Neodiprion lecontei: one gene and its partner. The protein of the gene in region 1 purifies or fractionates together with the protein of each later gene. This does not show direct contact. Links are inferred from orthologs where the notes say so. Each region holds a gene or a part of one and is shown in the gene's direction. Other genes may lie near its edges. The genes, in order: RNA-binding protein 28 and RNA exonuclease 4.

Region 1 (6,068 bases):
TTCTTTGTCCATCTATTTCAAAATTTTATAATATCTCAGGTGTGAATACTTTTCGTTAGTTCACAATTTTAAAATAGCAAAAGGTCGGTGTTAACGTAGCATTAAAAACTAGTAACTGGTTCAAGGAGAAGCCTATCGAAATTTGTGTCAAGTCTATTTAAGTTTGATTTCCAAAGAATACTTACATTGACATTAGTGCCTGCTAGTGCTGGAGACCTCTTCCATACATTGGAAGCTGGTGGCGACAATGCTTCTATTATAGATTCAAAACTCAGTCTGTTGTTACGCTTTTTGTGTCTTGTGAACGTTCTCGTATCGATAGAGCGCCTTGTGCCTGAAAGAACATAAGAATCACGAAACTCATTAAAGTTCAAGAACAAAAAAATAGAAAAAATGAAAGATGATACCTTACATTATTCAACAAGTGAAACCAGCAGAATAGTCAGACTGGTGTTTAATTTATCAGACTATATTAGGAAATACATAAATGATTATGTATGAAAAGGCAATTATATTGCTTCACCTCATAAAATGAGATCATCTTTCCTACTATAAGGTTTAACCGGGAACTGTGTGCGTGGGTAAGTAGGAATGAAAAAAAACAAACCATTCAGAGCTTCATTTTCCTCTAAATCCAATTCCGATCCATCTCCTAACCAGCTGTTTAGATCTTGGACATTGCCCTCCGCCGAACAATTTGCACATACATGAAGCCTGAAACAACATGTTATTTATAGTATCCGTAACAAAAAGCATAAAACCTATAACTCTTCATAAATGTTTTGTTATAATAGTCAGACACTGGGACAGTTATGATCAGTTTCTAATCAGAAAAACCTTTTTGTTTAAACAACTTTACTTTAGTTAGGCATAAGATGCCATTGATTTTCAAACTTGTGTAAACAGTAAATATACAATAATACACAAGCTGTGAGTCATTGACAGAAATGAGTATACACATCAGTGATGAGGTGATTCAACTAGCATGTACACATACATACGTTCTGTTTCGTAAAAGCGAAAGATGGAATAACCTGTTTACTACGCTTAATTTGATAATGATGTTGATGTATTTTGTTGAGTTTTTATAAACGGGATATGGTGTTCGAAAACCAAAAAGTTGTTAACAACAGGGATTAATAAACTTACCATCTCTCATCGTCCGAGAAGTCAAAGGCCGAAACATCGATGATATCGCTTACATCAAGAGGTTGCACTTCATCGACACAATAAGAGTTCGACATATTTTCTGCCGTATTAATCTGTCGCTCCGACATGTACGTTTAACGTTTTAATAACACGTAGAGACAAGACACTTCATTCTACCGTTGTAAATGATACATAAGCGATACGACGGATGGTGTGAAGCCCCGAATGGAATGTGTCTGCAGGCTCTCGCGCACAAGATGATCAACAAAACGTTTAATTGACAATTATTATCTGTTTATTAATAAAGTCTTTGATGCCTTTGAAAAGAGATTCCGAGGAGACGATACAAAAGACAAAAAACATAACCACGGGCGGGATATAAAGAAATAATTCCACCAACACAACAGAACCTTGCACCCTGTTAAGTAAATAAAGAAAACTGTCCAACGTGAAATTGGAAATCTTAAGTCTTAACCAGTAATACCAATCTACTTATTTCGTACCCAAAGTAGACAAAGATAGCAAAAATTTTTCTTTTTAACGACATCTTCAGGCTATACAGGGAAATATAGAAATTCAGTTCTCAAAGTGGTTCTCAACCGTCGCCATTGACATTTTTACGTGAGTGTCGGACACGCTGCGATATAACCTCACAAAGGTTTCTCTCTGCTCACAATATAAACAGTCATATGAAAGAATGTGGACGTCTTAAAGATATTACAGATTGAGATTGTTTATGAGATTAACGTCTTTGATTTCATTGAAATTTATTTAATTCAGCTGCTTCTATTATACTTGGACAGTCATATCAACCACTATGCAGAAATCAGATCGTGGTGAGGAATTTGTTGTTAAATTAATTAATTTTTTTTTGTATATTAATCGATTAAAATTAACTAAATTGCCTCGATTAATATTCATAATACTCGATCTATCAATTCCAGGTAATGGACGAGAAAAAAAATTATCCTGGGCTTATCGGAACAAAAAAAGAATTTTGAAAAACAAACGTGCTGAAGAAGCTCCTGAGGATACCACAAACGTACAAGTCCAAAATAAAAAGGCTCGAATTGTGCTTCGTAATCTTCCATTCAAGGTAAAACTCTCTTTGGTAAAGTTTTTTTCATTTAAGATAAAAAAGTCATCAATGTGTAATAACTTATCACTAAATGGATATTTTCAGGTTACTGAGGATGACATTAAAAAACATTATGCACCGTATGGTGAAATTGAAGAAATAAATCTACTACGTCACCCAGGTGGTAAACTGGTGGGTTGTGGTTTCGTTCAATTTAAAAAAGTAGAACAAGCTTCAAAGGCGATATTCAACACAAATAAAAAAGAATTGCTCGGTAAGACTGAACAAAAAAAAGGACAGTGTTTTTCTGGTTTCATTGTTCAGTAAATTTAAGTCCTCCAACCAATTGCACTATCAATGAATATGAATTGTACATTTACATTATTTTTAATCAAATTTTAGGAAGAATCATCACTTCAGATTGGGCAATACCAAAATACAAATTTGCCGAAGGTATTAAGGACGATGTTGACAAGACTGAGGATCTAACTGATAAAACAGAAAGCAACATAGAAGTTGATACCCAAAATGAAGAGTCTACCTGTCTGTCAAAAACTCAGTTGAAAAAAAATCTAAAGAGGAAAAAAAAAGACAAAGATAGGCTGAAACACATTCAGAAACGAGCAAGGATTATAGTTCGAAATCTATCATTTAATGTGAGGATGAAAATATACTCTTATTTGATTTTAATGATTGTTAGGAAGACATTTTCGTATTAAGTCTTAATGAAATTTCATGATTTTAGATAACTGATGATTTATTGAAAGAACACTTTGCACCGTTTGGCAATGTAGAAGAAGTCACGATCCTAACTAGACCAGATGGAAAACTTGTTGGTTGTGGATTTGTTCAATACAATAATGTTCAGAGTGCAGCTAAGGCGATACATCATTTAAATTTAAAACCTCTGTTGGGTCGACCAATAGTGGTTGATTGGGCTGTACCAAAAACAAAGTTTGGTAAGGCCGATGAACAGAAGGACCCAAATGAAGCGGCAATAGAAGAAGTTGAATTAAAAAAGGAAGAACCCGATGGAGATGATTCAGGCTTGGATGAAGACCCAGACCAAAGTGACTCATCTTTAAAACTGGAAGAGGATCAATCTAATGACAGGCAAGTTCAAGCTTTTATTAATCATGACCAAGTTCCATTAATCATATCTTTTTTTTTTTGCAGGGAGAGTAAGGATGAAAAACCTATTGGTGCAAGTATCGAGGATGAAATTGATGACAAAGAAGATGAAGATGATGATGAGGACGAAGACGAAGACGAATATGAGGATAAAGTGGAAGTTAAGATCTCACCAGATGAAGTCAAGAATGAGAAATTTGACGAGAATGAGGCTTCTCGACCACGCCGAATTTCGAATGACGTTAACGAGGGAAAAACGGTGTTCCTTAAAAATATTCCCTTTTCTGCGACCAACGACGATCTTAGGAAATGCATGGAACAGTTTGGTCCAGTCTATTATGCTCTTGTTTGTATGGACCCCCTTACAGAGCATTCAAAAGGAACAGCATTTGTTAAATTTCAAGTAAGTTGTACACTGTAATATTTTATTAAGTGATGAAAATTGATGTTCATAAATAAACCGGTTTAATACCGTTTACAGCACGTGGAGGATGCAGAGAAATGTTTATCGGCTGGAACTGAGCTACGTATACATGATCAAACTCTAGATCCTCATAAAGCACTGAACAGAAATGAAGTGCAAGATAAATCAGAGCTGAAAAAACAAAAAGCAACTGATTCTAGAAACTTGTACCTTGTCAAAGAAGGAGGTAAGATAATATGAAATTTATATAGATTGGATTGTTGTGCTACATGGTCATTCATTTGTTATTTGGTTTGTGCGTAACAACACGTGAACGATGGATTAATTCCTTACAGTGATACTGGCTGGTAGTCCAGCTGCAGTAGGAGTATCTGCAGGGGACATGGCTCGTCGTTTGCAATTAGAACAATGGAAATCGCAAATGCTACGAAATTTAAATATGTTCGTTTCAAGGGTCCGTCTGGTTGTGCATAATTTACCCGTTTCAGTGGATGACAAAAAGCTGCGAGAAATTTTCCAGAACCATTCTGGGCCAAAAGCAGTTATAAGAGAGGTTATAACCACTTTTCGGTCAGGAGTTAATTTTAAATATCTCTATTTACTTATGACGCATGTTCATATTGGTTTTATTTCTTTCAGGCCCGAGTGATGCGGGATTTACGAAACATTGAGGCCAATGGAATTGGCAGGTCTAAAGAATACGGTTTCGTTGCCTTTACAAGCCACGAAGATGCGCTGAAAGCGTTGAGAAGTATAAATAACAATCCAAAAATCTTCGGCACCACCAAGGTAATTAATTTATATCTGACAGGATCTTGAATAAATAATTATCCAAACTTCTTATTTTCAGAGGCCTATTGTCGCGTTTTCAATCGAAAACAGAGTAATGGTGAATGCCATTAAAAAACGAGTAGAAAAAAGTCGAGAGCGCAATCCTCTGTGGACAGGAAGTAATCTAAAAACTAAGAATGACCGGCCCATGACAAATAAGAGAAAACACGAAGATGGCAAATATTCGGATGACAAGAAAACGAACAGTATTGGTAGGCCGACTGTCAATAATAGAAACAAGGATCGTCGGCCTGCGAAGCATCCTAGATTGGAAAATGGTAATGACGAGGGTGATGTTCAGCCATATTCTGGTGTAACGAGTAAACCAGGAGAGAGAAAAATGCGATCAAGATTCAATCTCAAGTCTCAAGCTATTTTACATAAACAAACTATGAAACGAGAATTAAAAAATAAAAAGTCTAAAGCGAAAATTCAGCAGACGAAAAAGGAACAACGGATCTCTCAAAAAGAAATAAGGGTAAGTCTTAATTATACCTCCCCATTCACATAAAATTTGTGACTTTGTTTTTTAAACGACCTTATTAGATTAATCGTTGGCTAACTCTAATTTTATTAATTTCATCAACAGCCGAAACAGGGTTCAAAGAAAAAAGTGAACAAAGAAGATATAAATTTCAGCAAATTGGTGAACAATTATAAGAATAAATTAATGGCAACGTCTAAGGAAAAATCCAAGTGGTACGAAACATAATAACTTATATTTGAAAAATTAGGATTGCGCCATGTATATAAAGTATTTTTTTTTTTGCGTTAGACTTTGAATTGTAAATTTTTTTTAAATTGAAAATTAAAGACTTTTATTTCACGGAAGTGTATTGTGCTTATGTAATTAATTCGACAACCTTGACGCTCCCAAACAACAATTATATAGATCAATAATACCGCTTATTTATGTAAAATAATCCAATTGCCCAGCCAAATTAATGATCCAGCGCGCCTTATTATGGGCAATCTACTTTTCATTTTTCATGTTCACGGCGCCGCGCTAGTTTGAATTTACTGTATTTAAAACGCCAGGAAATGATCGCCTTTGATTTGTAGGTGACAGATTTTTTCCCTTAAAACGTCACAATAAATTTGAACCATTATAATATTTGGTGTACGCGTACCAGTATTGTTCAAATTTTTATACGTTAAAAAGCGAACATTATGTTGACCCTTTTTATTCTACGACATCTGAAATCGCCGCCGCGTAAGCCCCATTATTACGGATACTACAGTCAAACCATTGTTTAAGAAGTGATAACAAATGAACGAAAAAAATCCTCGAAAGTTCCGTTAACAGAATCTATAACCGAACTAATAAAAACTAAATAAAAGAAATCTTTGCGAAAGGTCAAAAATTCATTCGAAGTCCGGGTTCATAATACTGTTGCGTTGTAACTGGTTAGGAGAATTAGGACATCCAGTTTGAGAGTCGAGAAAGGGGTTTCG
Region 2 (4,801 bases), on another chromosome or scaffold:
AGTTTTATTCTCAAAAATATACTCGATCATACATAAAAAATGAAGTTACAAAAGCATGCAACCATTCGTAGAATCGTATAAGAAAAAGACATGGACCTTTTACAGCACGTGGCATTAAACTGAATTAATGAAAAATGGCGATGACTTGAAAGAGTCTGGAAATAAGTGTATGCAAGGCGTATGATGCTTATATAATCATTTTGACTTATCGCAGGATATTTCTTTCGGTATTTAAACGAGATATCAGACAATAATCATACCGGCGGGGGATAATTATTTGAAAAATGTCGATTACGTAAAATAAATTTAGGATTAGACGAACAATGAGATTACCCGTAGCTCAGTACTGTTACCACGCGTAGCAGATGACTTAAAATCTATACCACACTGTTAAAAGGATTAAGAAAAAAAAAAAAGAAAGTAAATTAGAAATATTTCTCGAGGTTTGACGCGAATTTGCTGGGCGGATCCTTTGGACCATGTCGTTCGACAACTTTACCGTCCTTGTCAACGATGAATTTGGTGAAATTCCATTTGATAAAGCTGCCCATGATACCACCTTGCTCTTGCTTCAAGTATTCCCAGAGTGGGTGGGCATTTTCTCCGTTGACATCGATTTTCTCAAACAAGTCGAACTTTACCTACAAAAATAAGAATGAAAAAAACATTGATTATGACAGTTTTTAGAGCACATAATGTCTTCCGATTTCATCAATTTAAATGAAATTTGGACAGGTGAACTGTATCATGAAATCGTTATAAGATTCAAAAATATTTTCCTACATTTCGGCGTTCAGCGAAACTGCAAATTTGTTCACTAGTGCCTGGTTCTTGCTTTCCAAACTGATTGCAGGGAAACGCAAGGATGCGCAGTCCTGTAAAAGAACAAAATGTTATAAATTACTTATTGGATATTAAGTAAAATATGTCAATAGAATCACAATCTTGACCTTTTGTTTCAGCGTATTTGTCATGTAGCTCATTTAGTTCCTTGTAATTTGATGACGTCAAGCCGCATTTTGAGGCGACATTTACAATGAGAAGAACATGACCCTTGTACCTAAAATAACCATTGAAGCACCATTAATACTTTCGTCTCATCATATGTTGCTTCAAATCAAGTTTTGTGAAACGCTCTTAAAAACTTTGTTAAACATACTTGGATAACGGCACATCTTCTCCTTTGATGGATTTGACAGTGAAATCATAAACGGATGTAGCATTTTTGAAATCTTGATTTCCACTCATACCTGAAAACATATTGCTGTTATTGTTGTGGAGTGGATGGATATTTTTCAGAGATTCACAAATTCATATAAAATGCAAGTATTTTTAAAAAGGCCAGAACGCAATGCAATTAATGATTTATGAGGAAAAAACACAGAACAAATTAGAAAAAGCATTATTATAATAGATAAATAAAGAATAAGCCTAACATTGAGCATGTGAGATACGCAGAATTGGTAGAGCTGTGACCCGACTGATGCATGTGAACATGTTTAATTTATTTTCGAGAATTTATTCTCTATTGTGTTCTTTGTTGAGACGTCGTGCGTGAGCCACGGTCTAGAAAAGCAAAAAAGCTATTCTGATTAACCATGTCAAGCATCAGATTACGCAATAGTTGATAAGAAGCTATCCTCGTCATCTGGCGGGAAAAAATGAAGTACCAAACTAGTCTACTGTTCTTTGTGTTGCCGGCGTACAAAACGATTGATTTGATTTAGGAATTCAATTACTGTTCTACTGAATGATTGAAATTGTACGTGTAGACTTTGTTCACCTGTGATTTTCTTAGTATGGTAGATTTCTTAATTCGTCGTCGGAAGTCGATGACAATAAGCAATAACTTCAAGCTTGCAAAATACAAACTAGCGTAGTAAACAGATCGAAACGACAACGGCACAGACAACAATCCTGCAGCTTCTAGGATTACCCTGAAACGCGGAGTACGTATTAATGAGATGGGCGACTACTACTCAGTGATGCCTCGGTGTCCGTAGGTAACGTAGAGCATTGACGATCGACCGAGTGGTCACGAAAAAAAACCTTGAGAAATAACCTCGATCAGTGGCGAATTCCTGAGAAAAGAGTGGCTGTTATGGTTATGTGCCATTATTTTGAAATACCATGCATTTGTACTGATCGTACTGATATACAACTAGCGATCTGCCAAGAGTGCAAAGTTGAGAGAAGGGAGACATGGTAGAGGCGGCTACCTTTCTACCGGTAATTATTGTTGTCGCGTTATTAATTTTGTGCCGTGATATGTTATCGAAGATGATGAAAGATCAGCAGAGTATAACCAGAACTAAAAGAAACACCGAAGAATCAGCAGCCAACAACAAAAAGTCATTTTCGACCAGCAGCGAGTCTAGAAATATCGAAAAACGAATGAAACCTAACCAGAAACCGAGCAACGGGCCAGCACATGGTACCCCAACAACAAATTGGGAAAAATTTAAAGATCTCATAAAAGACTCGGGATCCGATGAAAAAAAAATTAGGACCAATAATGCTCATGCAAAAACTTTTCCGAGGCAGAGGAGGAACTACAGTCATGTAGAATGTACTGCATCCACACCTGCCTCGGTAACTATATCCGAAAATCAGTTTGTTTTTTAATCTAGTCTGAACGATCTCATAAACGTACTACCAGATTTTTTTCTAAATCCACGTACTTTAAAATGCAGAGTCTTTGTGATTTGTTACTGGGGAACATACCCGCTTTGCGAGGAAAATATCTTCTTAATTTTCCAAGATGCTTACATCACTACGTTGTCCTACCATATTATCACTTTACCACCTAAATTCTTTACAGAATATATCAATTTTCATTTCAGACCTTTTCCCCCACCGCTAAATCCAAGGTAAATATCGCAAAGAACAAGACAATGAATCAATTGACAAAACAAGTAGCAATAGACTGTGAGATGGTTGGGATTGGAAACGGAACTGAGAACATGTTGGCACGGGTCTCGCTAGTTAATAGGTACGGAGTATGTGTTTACGACAAATATGTCAAGCCGCGAGAAAAGGTTCAAGATTACCGAACACCAGTGAGTGGAATTCGTCCTGATGATCTTTACAATGGGGAAAACTTTGAGACGGTCCAAAGAGAAGTGGCTGAAATATTGCAAGGAAGGTTACTCATCGGCCACGCCCTCAAGCACGATACCGATGTCTTGTTTTTATCCCATCCCAAGAGAATGATCAGAGATACATCAAGATATAAGCAGTTTAGAAAAGTTTCAATGGGGAATACACCGAGTCTAAAAAGACTAGCTGCAGAATTGCTCGGTATTGATATACAAAGCGGCGAGCATAGTTCCGTAGAAGATGCTAGAACTGCGATGCAGTTATATATGTTGTATAAAAATCAGTGGGAAACTGATATCAGAACTAAGCGGTGAAAAATTTTGTATATTTTCTTTTACTTGCGAATTACAGGTTACGTTTTATTCATGTCGGGCATTTAAGGTATGGCAAACATTTTTTTTAAGAACGTACAACTGTTGTTATTGTATATGAAATGTTGACGAGCTCGAATTTAATAATTTAATTTCAATGTTGAATGAAAAGACTGTTGTAACATACATAAAATTAAATATTGCGGGGTTAGTCACCAGTAACTTTCCTCACATTTTAGTTCCATAGTTAAGTGGTAATCTTCAACGATTAGCTCCATGTATGGGGTGCGTATTACATTCTACTTTTGCAACAAGGTCAATAACGATTTGCAATAATAGCAATCGATTTTACAAATGTGCTAAGTAATTTACTTACTCAGTTACCTACAGTTTTGTTCTTGTCTATTACCGATAAGTCAACTGTAAAGTGAATCATGTAACTGTTTTTTGATGAGCTGGCTTAATCTAATTAGTTGAAAAGAATTCGTACCCCCCTTAGATATCCAATAAAATATTCACATCTGCAATAAAATGCTAACAGCTTTTCTGAATTTCTCTCTGCTGGGTGCTGTCTTGTCCATCACAGACTAATTCCGTAAATACAAATAGGACCTTGATTTGTTTAACCACCGACTATGCAACTATTGTTTCTGTGAATTCGTTTAGAACTAGTTGAGTTGAGATAAAAGAAGAATTTCGAAAGAAAACCATAGTAAAATGATTACTGCCTTGATATATGAGTATTAGATTATGTATATTAACAAGAAGTAAATTATTTCATGTTGAGATGACGCATATTTTCTACGACTAATCAATTATTTCTGTAATTATGGAAAATAAAGTATTTTGTTTATAAAATAATTGTTAGATTTATTTTGCTATACGACAGCTTAATTTGTTTGAAAATGTAATGATATAACAGATAAATTTTGAATGAATAAGTACTAACAAACATCTGTTCGATCAATGGAAGTTAGTAGAGTCACAAAAGGATTTTTCAAGGAAACATTAAATGTGAAAATGATTAGCCGTGAATTTTTCAATGTTGTATACATAAGAAGAATAAAGAAAAATCTTTGTATTCAAACAATGAATACATAGCTCATTTGCTACATTCCCGTATTGGTGATTGCCGTGAGTGAACGACCTTGTTATCAGACACATTCCCTCTTTTCTGGAATGTATTTCTTGCTACTTCCCATCAAACACACTGCAGTCTTCATTGTTTCTACAACCAGCAACGTGGGCAAGAGCATTACTTGTGCATCTGAGTACAGATTGCGCCTTGGTGGAGAAAAGATTGTTTGCTTTCATCAGAAAAATCATAATAATACTTTTTGCGAGCAATAATTTAATGCAAATAGAAGTGAAGTGAAAAAATAAGGCCTCAA

Evidence for each region.
Region 2: the proteins of RNA-binding protein 28 (region 1) and RNA exonuclease 4 purify together in Homo sapiens (affinity purification with mass spectrometry; 3 studies listed by BioGRID and IntAct, with this or other methods). This does not show direct contact. The link is inferred for Neodiprion lecontei from reciprocal best matches to the Homo sapiens genes RBM28 and REXO4.

The regions. Positions count from the first base shown.
Region 1 is NC_060265.1:7,494,129-7,500,196, reverse strand, and holds RNA-binding protein 28, read left to right. Parts: upstream 1-1,752; 5' UTR 1,753-1,966; coding exon 1,967-1,985; intron 1,986-2,093; coding exon 2,094-2,245; intron 2,246-2,332; coding exon 2,333-2,501; intron 2,502-2,629; coding exon 2,630-2,883; intron 2,884-2,972; coding exon 2,973-3,340; intron 3,341-3,403; coding exon 3,404-3,761; intron 3,762-3,839; coding exon 3,840-4,008; intron 4,009-4,117; coding exon 4,118-4,335; intron 4,336-4,421; coding exon 4,422-4,571; intron 4,572-4,632; coding exon 4,633-5,091; intron 5,092-5,202; coding exon 5,203-5,325; 3' UTR 5,326-5,404; downstream 5,405-6,068. Other genes in the region: uncharacterized protein LOC107219962, read right to left, coding at 1-12, 186-334, 608-714, 1,150-1,277. UniProt on the Homo sapiens protein: Nucleolar component of the spliceosomal ribonucleoprotein complexes.
Region 2 is NC_060264.1:30,466,911-30,471,711, forward strand, and holds RNA exonuclease 4, read left to right. Parts: upstream 1-2,040; 5' UTR 2,041-2,202; coding exon 2,203-2,592; intron 2,593-2,843; coding exon 2,844-3,413; 3' UTR 3,414-4,268; downstream 4,269-4,801. Other genes in the region: probable phospholipid hydroperoxide glutathione peroxidase, read right to left, coding at 426-641, 784-875, 951-1,060, 1,160-1,250, 1,437-1,497.